2 linked regions of the Xenopus tropicalis genome follow. The protein of the gene in region 2 purifies or fractionates together with the protein of the main gene of each other region. This does not show direct contact. Links are inferred from orthologs where the notes say so. Each region holds a gene or a part of one and is shown on either strand. Other genes may lie near its edges.

Evidence for each region. Proteins that work in one complex are often made in the same cells at the same time.
Region 1: the proteins of dtx3 (region 2) and rnf114 purify together in Homo sapiens (affinity purification with mass spectrometry; 3 studies listed by BioGRID and IntAct, counting the BioPlex papers as one, with this or other methods). This does not show direct contact. The link is inferred for Xenopus tropicalis from reciprocal best matches to the Homo sapiens genes DTX3 and RNF114.

What each region holds. Positions count from the first base shown.
Region 1 is NC_030686.2:36,177,569-36,182,195, forward strand, and holds part of rnf114 (E3 ubiquitin-protein ligase RNF114), read left to right. Parts: intron 1-954; coding exon 955-1,105; intron 1,106-3,708; coding exon 3,709-3,815; intron 3,816-3,934; coding exon 3,935-4,049; intron 4,050-4,627. UniProt on the Homo sapiens protein: E3 ubiquitin-protein ligase that promotes the ubiquitination of various substrates. In turn, participates in the regulation of many biological processes including cell cycle, apoptosis, osteoclastogenesis as well as innate or adaptive immunity.
Region 2 is NC_030678.2:140,822,613-140,826,945, forward strand, and holds part of dtx3 (probable E3 ubiquitin-protein ligase DTX3), read left to right. Parts: intron 1-2,917; coding exon 2,918-3,135; intron 3,136-4,333. UniProt on the Homo sapiens protein: Regulator of Notch signaling, a signaling pathway involved in cell-cell communications that regulates a broad spectrum of cell-fate determinations.

The DNA.
Region 1 (4,627 bases), on a different chromosome or scaffold from region 2:
CTATGATTTTAGAGTTTTCATTTTAAGAACCACTGTGTTTGGTTGGAACAATGTAGCGGAAGGCAACCGTGCAGTATTTTTCATAGCTAAACTAGCCAAACCGCTTCGGCTACATTGTGTTAAAAGTGATACTACCTGGGTAAAGGATACAAATCACTTTAGAATCAGTAAAAATATGTAATGATTGTATAGTGGAATTTTATTTAACTTTTCAGTTTTTTGGGGGTTTATATCCCCTTTAACTGTCAACTAGTCACAGAGTTTCAGGAAGTGGCGCAGTTTTATGTGTGGGCGGACAGTGTGTCTTGGCCTAGTGAGGAACAGCTGTCTGACCACATATATACCCACATCCTGAGACACAAAGTGATATAAATGGAAATTTGGGGCATGAACAGCAGTGGACTTCTGTAATGATTAACCCTTCATGGTCTGTAGATTGTAGTATCTACGTGTGCAGTATTATATTGACATTGAGTGCCAGAATACAGGGTATTCAGTGCAGGATCTCACTTGCTGAAAGTTAGGCAGCACTTAATGGGTTAAAGGGAAATTTCATCTAAATAATTTTGATTGGCTGTATGGCTTTTTTTCTCTGATTTGATAAACGGTAAATTACTACCCTCCCCAGGACCATGGATGCAAAGGGCACATTTCCTAAAATATATTACACAAGCTGTGAAGCCTTGTATTATCCCGGGAGCACTTTGCACCCATAGGCAATTTATAGTTCATCAACTGATATGGAAGGTTTGTGAGAAAACTTTCATATTACAATGGGATCCACATTTTCACCTTCCTTTATTGCTTTTACTTGACACAGAGGTGATGGAATTAAGGAGCAAAGGTGATCGTTTTGCCTTTTTTTTCTAGAGGAAGTTTAAGCATTATATCTTGATAATCTGTTTATTAGAAAATCAGGATCACAGCCTTCCGCTTTTTGCCATGTTCCTCCAGATTCTGTACATCATGTCTGCATCAGTGCACACATAATAAGAACTTAATGTGCGGCGTGTGCCGGAGAAAGCTGAAACCTGAAAGCAACGCTTTTGATCTGACAAATCAAATGGAAAAGATTGAGGCATCATGCAAAGGCTGCAATAAAAAAGTAAGTGAACAGCAGCCTCCCATGTTTGCTCATAGCCTGTACAGAGAGATACCATAAAACTATGGCAGCATAGGGATTCCCCTGTACTAAGCACAATTAAGCAGGAACAGCCCCCTTAGTTTGCTCATAGCCTGTACAGAGAGATACCATAAAACTATGGCAGCATAGGGATTCCCCTGTACTAAGCACAATTCAGCAGGAACAGCCCATAAGTTTGCTCATAGCCTGTACAGAGATATACCATAAAACTATAGCAGCATATGTATTCCCCTGTACTAAGCACAATTTAGCAGGAACAGCCCCTAAGTTTGCTCATAGCCTGTACAGAGAGATACCATAAAACTATGGCAGCATAGGTATTCCCCTGTACTAAGCACAATTAAGCAGGAACAGCCCCCTTAGTTTGCTCATAGCCTGTACAGAGAGATACCATAAAACTATGGCAGCATAGGGATTCCCCTGTACTAAGCACAATTCAGCAGGAACAGCCCATAAGTTTGCTCATAGCCTGTACAGAGATATACCATAAAACTATAGCAGCAAATGTATTCCCCTGTACTAAGCACAATTTAGCAGGAACAGCCCATAAGTTTGCTCATAGCCTGTACAGAGATATACCATAAAACTATAGCAGCATATGTATTCCCCTGTACTAAGCACAATTCAGCAGGAACAGCCCCCTAAGTTTGCTCATAGCCTGTACAGAGAGATACCATAAAACTATGGCAGCATAGGGATTCCCCTGTACTAAGCACAATTCAGCAGGAACAGCCCCCTAAGTTTGCTCATAGCCTGTACAGAGAGATACCATAAAACTATGGCAGCATAGGGATTCCCCTGTACTAAGCACAATTCAGCTGGAGCAGGATCCTTAGTTAGTCTGTATAATATATATTATCTGAGACAATATATAATTATTATAGATATTCCCCTGTACACATTAATCAAGGAAGTCTGAGGTTATACTGGCTTTTTAAAATACTGGCACTTATGATTGAGTGAGGCCTATAAAGTCAAAATAATGTGTTGTTGTAGATATCATGTCAGTGAGTGGGAGGAGCGGCTGTGGTTTCACTATACATAGATGAACCTTAGGGTGACAGCCAAGGGTTAAGGCTGAGATGTTGATGTGGTTTCACTCTGTGTGTGCCCATATGCTCTGACATCAGCCAAGTTTAGCAGCAGTGTCGGTATTAAATTCCCCTGCACCACCTGTGACTGATTACATAGTATTGAATTAAAACGTGAAAGGGCTCAGGAGCCTTGGATTTCCCCACAATAGTTAGCAATTTCCTTTTTCCGATAGGGAAAGCCCAGCTTAGAGCTTATTATTTAAAAAAAAAAAAAATAGGACTTTCCATCTTAAAACAGACAAATGTTGTTCCTTGCTTATAAGATTTCATTTATATTTAAGGCAAAAAGCTTTCACACATATGACTTTACCACGGTGCTTGAATTATTCTGCCCTTAGACGGAGGCAGAGCTAGTTAGTCGCCCGTGATAGATCTCTGCTACCGTGGGCGACAAACTGCTTTGAAATGCCTTTCCACCGGCAGTTGGCATTCTGTCACGGTGGCACAGATCCCATCTGATACCCATTATAAGCAGCAGTCATGCCCTACTTTATGGCTGAGATTCTAGCTATCTGTATAACAGAGCATTCTGTCACAGTGGCACAGATCCTATCTGATACCCATTGTAAGCAGCAGTCCTGTCCTGCTTTATGGCTGAGATTGTAGCTATCTGTATAACAGAGCATTATGTCACAGTGGCACAGATCCTATCTGATACCCATTGTAAGCAGCAGTCCTGCCCTGCTTTATGGCTGAGATTCTAGCTATCTGTATAACAGAGCATTCTGTCACAGTGGCACAGATCCTATCTGATCCCCATTGTAAGCAGTAGTCCTGTCCTGCTTTATGGCTGAGATTGTAGCTATCTGTATAACAGAGCATTCTGTCACAGTGGCACAGATCCTATCTGATCCCCATTGTAAGCAGTAGTCCTGTCCTGCTTTATGGCTGAGATTGTAGCTATCTGTATAACAGAGCATTATGTCACAGTGGCACAGATCCTATCTGATACCCATTGTAAGCAGCAGTCCTGCCCTGCTTTATGGCTGAGATTCTAGCTATCTGTATAACAGAGCATTCTGTCACAGTGGCACAGATCCTATCTGATCCCCCCATTGTAAGCAGCAGTCCTGCCCTGCTTTATGGCTGAGGTTCTAGCTATCTGTATAACAGAGCATTCTGTCACAGTGGCACAGATCCTATCTGATACCCATTGTAAGCAGCAGTCCTGCCCTGCTTTATGGCTGAGATTCTAGCTATCTGTATAACAGAGCATTCTGTCACAGTGGCACAGATCCTATCTGATACCCATTGTAAGCAGCAGGCCTGCCCTGCTTTATGACTGAAATTCTTGCTTTCCATACAGATACAGAGGCTGAAGAGTAATAGATGCGATTTCTGTAACCAAAAATAGCTGTGGGATTGAGGGGGATCTCTGGGTACTGAAAGTAACAGCATAGCAGAAGTACTTGTGTGTCTGGTGTGTTATTATTATTATAGGAAATGACCTAGGTTCCTTGCAACCTGCAGGTGAAACTTTCAAAAATGCGTGAACACTTCGCTGCCTGTACCAAATATGATAAATATGTCATGAATGGAATTAAGGCTGTCAAAAAGAGCCACTCCCAGGAAACTGGGTGAGTATGTTTTCCACACAGTAGTGACCAGAACATTCCTTTTCCAATACGTCCTTTTTATCCTCCATATGTAGATCTTAAGGCATTTAAATGATTGTACTTCATCTTCCTTCCCACAGTGATGTCCCAAACCGCTTCACCTTTACTTGCCCCTACTGCCAGGAACAGAACCTTGCTCAGGAAGGATTAGTGGATCACTGCAAGAGGTTTCACATGAGCGATCCAACGCCTGTGGTGAGTTGATGACGGGACTATTGTATTGCTGCTACTGGAACACTCGCGTTTGGCTCTGTCTTAAGAAAAATTGTTTATACCCAAGTATGGAATAAGATTTAGCTGTCATTTGTTTACTGTACATTATATATCGGCATAATTGTGTTTGTTTGTGGCAGTGGCTTTGACAAGCTAACCTCCAGTGTCCATATTGTCAGAGGAAGTGGCTCAGCCTTGCAAAGCAGTAACATTTCAATAAAACATCTCGGGGTACCCTTGTTTTATCCACTCAAACCATATACAATTGTATTAGTTTCTGTCCAGTTGCTAAGGTATCGCATACCCAGTAACCAGGCTTTGGTTGGAATGACATGACAGAAAGTAAATAGATGAGGGGCTAAATAGCTTGATAATAATAATCATCGTCATCATCATATAGCCTTCCCCATAACAAAAGAATAAATGAAATATTAGGTTTTTAATTAGGCAAAATTTAAAAGGCACAAAAATTGACCATATTTTTTTTTTAGGCAAATTTTATCACTCTATTTTTGTGTTGCACTGTGGGTATCAAACAACAGCTCTGCAGTTTGGTATAT
Region 2 (4,333 bases):
CACCTTAGAATATTGTTGTGTATCTACGTGACCACAGGCCTAGGTGCAGAACTTACACCTGCTCCCCTACCTAGAATGTACACACACCTCCTGCCCTTCTGGTATGTACACCAGTGTAGCATATCAGTTGCTCATAATAGAACACGTTTGTAGCATTCCCAACCAAATAGATATGCCAAATGATAGGACAGGCATTTTTCATCAGCCTGAGAGGACATCTCACATTGTACTGCAAAGTAAAACTGATCAACCTACTTGCTCAAAAGTATATATATCATCAGTTCTTACATGTATTTCTAGTATAAAATGAGACATGTTTATTGCAGCACTAGGCAGTTGGAAAATGTTAACGAATAAATCAGCAACATGAGAAATTAATTATTTAGAGTTTGTATCTGTGTATATCATGTTGAGGGTCTTTACTAAACTCACTGGGACATCTAATAAGGAAACCAGCTCATCAACCATCAATCAACAGCATTAGAGATAATTTGGTGTGGCAGTAACAAAGCTGACCTCTAACAAGCATATTTTCAAATAAGTAATCAGGGAATACACACGGGGGACTTTGTCTCACTGAATCACAGAATGTCGTACATACCCCTGTACTTGTCTGCGGCAGAGATGAGAATGGATGTCAGGGTCTTTGCTGGCCGTGCTGGATTTAGTATGTCAGAAATCTTGTTGTGCTTCATTGCCAGCGTATGAACCATTGTTTTGCAACACCACTGTATATTGGCTGATGTTCCTGCGGTCTGCTACTCAGGCAATCGAAGAAAAAGATTAGTGTGAAATAGCTGCCTGCAGGGACAGTCCGGCTCCACTCACACAGTAGATATACAGCAAAAAAGGCATTAAATTACTTTAAGGAGAGCGGCCAGTGCTGAATACAAAGGCAAAATGTTTTAGAACATCTAAAGGCACTGTCATTTTGCTTATCAGCCTACACCTGTTCTGATTTGAATAAGTGTGGTAATTGTTTAAAGGTTTCACGATTCATCAAATCTTCTCAACAATGAAATGGAGGCAAAGCTGAAAATGTTCATTTTAATTCCGTAAGAAAAAATTATACAGGCTTGTGTCAGAATTCCAGCCACAATCATCTGATTTTTTTTTAAAATGAAGGTTTCTTTTAGATTTGTTACCTACTTGCCCTTCACTTACAAAGCATACGTTCTGGAAAATGTATTAGGCCTGATTTACTTTACAGCTGGGAATTCCCCCAACCACAGGCAGTACCAGAAAGATTTATATCAATGACAAGATCTTCAGAAAACAAAGTCACAAGCATGAAATTGCTTTTAGCTGGAATGCTGATGTTAAAAAAAACTTTTCCAGTCATTCTCATGAACACTGACACATATGTGCTCTCTTTAGCGTATGTTTATGGGCATAATTGCGCAAGCTGTAGGTATCACCATTCAGGAGAAATTTGTGTTGGTTCCAATTTCACATAATAAAATCATTCATGAAGGCACTGCCTAGAATTACTGGCTGGATGTTTACAGTTTGTTGCAACATTCTCATTAGTTGGGAATAGTAACTCACACCAAATGTCTGTTTGTTCATTGCACCATTTAAGGGACCATAACTCTGTTGGAGCTGTTTGTAATCATTTCTCTTTCAGGCGCTTCCAAAATTTCACTTTTAAGAATTGGTGCCTTCTTTGTAAGTTGTCATCTTAGATTTCTAGGGCAAATCATTAAGTTAAGATGGAATATTGCATGCCAATGAATAACCATAGAGTTACACGAGCCAGCCAGAGGCCAAAGACCAGGGCAATTCAAACTTGGGTGGGCAACCTACTGATCATGTGTTCAAACATATTTTAGAGCTCATTGACAATGGAGGGGGCAAGGTGCAAAAAAATTATACAAAGAGCTATGTTTTAACCGCACGCTTCCTTGTGGTTCGCCTTATTGTGCTCCTGAAATGGACCGCAGAGAGCTGCGCCTCACTCATTGTCTAAGTTTTTAGCAATGCAGGGTACATCAGAAGCAGAATGTATAATAAAGTAGTAGAATTCTTAATTAATCAGATGAAAAAGTGGGACTGGCCAGACCGGGGATTACTTTGACATACAAAGTTGATAGTAAGTACAGGTATAGGACCTATTATCCAGAATGCTCAGGACCAAGGGTATTCCGGATAAGGGTTCTTTCCATAATTTGGATCTTCATACCTTAAGTCTACTAAAAATCAATAAAACATTAAATAAGCCCAATAGAATTTTTTGCATCCAGTAAGGATTAATTATTGTTGGGATCAAATACAAAGCACTGTTTTATTTTTAAATAGAAAAAAGAAATCAATTTTAAAAATCTGAATTATTAAAATGGAGTCTATGGGAGACAGGCTTACCATAATTCGGATCCCATACCTGTACCTTAAAAAAAAATACACACACACACAATAAGCATTTTGTGCCTCCCTATTGTTAATTTTATCTGTAAATGTATAGAGAAAGCTAGCACAGAACCAAAAAAAAAAAAACACCTTGCCTAGTGGTGGGAGAGGCCCTGGCCAGTAGATCTTTGTCCATTAATTGGCTAATGTAACTAAACATGTATGTGTGCTCTTGGCTTGATCCCAGGAGGCGGCCCTTAATTCTTAAAGGTGCAATTTTCTATTTAGGGTTACCCAATAGGACATACTGATAAAAAGTATATTTTTATGAAAATGATTTATTTAGATGAAGCAGGGTTTTACATATGAGCTGTCTTATGCAATATATTTTATAGAGACCTACATTGTTCGGGAGATATGGTAATATAGGTTCTTTTTATGTCCTGTTAATGAATAATGCTAACACATGATGGAATCTATAATTCCATATAAAAATTAGATCCCCTTTTCTGTCTGACGGACTGTGAGCAGCATAGAATGAATTTACCAATATATCATTTCTTTTCTGCAGTCAGAGCACCCCAACCCTGGAGTAAGGTATCCGGGAACAACACGTGTGGCTTACTTGCCTGATTGCCCTGAGGGAAACAAAGTTCTAACGCTATTTAAGAAAGCCTTTGACCAACGTCTGACCTTTACCATTGGGACTTCAATGACTACAGGGAGGCCCAATGTCATAACGTGGAATGATATTCACCACAAAACTAACTGCACAGGAGGACCACAGCTGTAAGAACCCTTTGGATCCATCACTAATTCCCTCTGCCTGTCATGTTAGCAACTGATCCAAATTTTTTAAAAAATTGTTGCAAAAAAAAAAAAAAAAAAAAACAAACATTTTTTTTTAGCTGAAGACAAATGTAGATACTATTATCTAAGGTGTTAATATACAGTGAAACCTCAATTTTACATCCCCTGATATTAAGTTTTCCTGTATTTTACATCATTGTACACATAGTAAACTTCCCTGATTTTACATTTTCCCGAATTTTGCACCATTATTTTCTGGTCCTCTTAAAAAAAACGTAAAAACATGACCAGCACACCAGGTCACATAAATATCTTCTTTTAATTCACCATGTGATCCAATACATGAATAAAAAGAAGATATTGATGTGACCTGGTGTGCTGGTCCTTCTTATAGGTATTTACATACAGTATTTTGACCTAGCACCCACTTATTGCACTGCTTTAGAGTACTGACACGCAATGCGACTATATATTTATATATATATATATATATATAGCAAGAGAATGAGCTGCACGCACCAGGACTTGGCAAAAATATAATAAGTTTATTTAAGAAAAGAGATCCAACGTTTCGAGCACTAACTGTGCTCTTCCTCAGGGTTTTTTCCCTGAGGAAGAGCACAGTTAGTGCTCGAAACGTTGGATCTCTTTTCTTAAATAAACTTATTATATTTTTGCCAAGTCCTGGTGTGTGCAGCTCATTCTCTTGCTTTATATTTTTTTTTTGCTAGCACCCTGGGCATTTGAATCTCAATAGGGTGTGCTCTGTTTGTTCTTGTTATATATATATGTTTATATATACAATGTTGGCTGGGGAGCCTGGGGACCACCAGGTCTGTCACTTTAGGGACCCCGACCTCCCCTCCCCCTGCGCACCCTGTGTTCCTCTTACTTGTGGCCATTATTATGTACAGGGGAGGAGTGCCCAAAGTTTCTCGCTCAGAGAAGGCCTGGGTTGATAAGAACATTATCGTTGAGAACATTATTGGTCATTTGTCTAACAGTTTGGGATAAGGATCAGCCAAAGTTATGGAGTCACTGATTTGTTCACCTGCACTGCACTGTTGTGTAAATATACAAGAGGCCATTATAGCAAATTTGCCATTGGTTGAAATGCTTAATTTCAAAGATAATGTAATTCGTCTCAAATGTTTTTATGATCTGCACAACTAGCAAG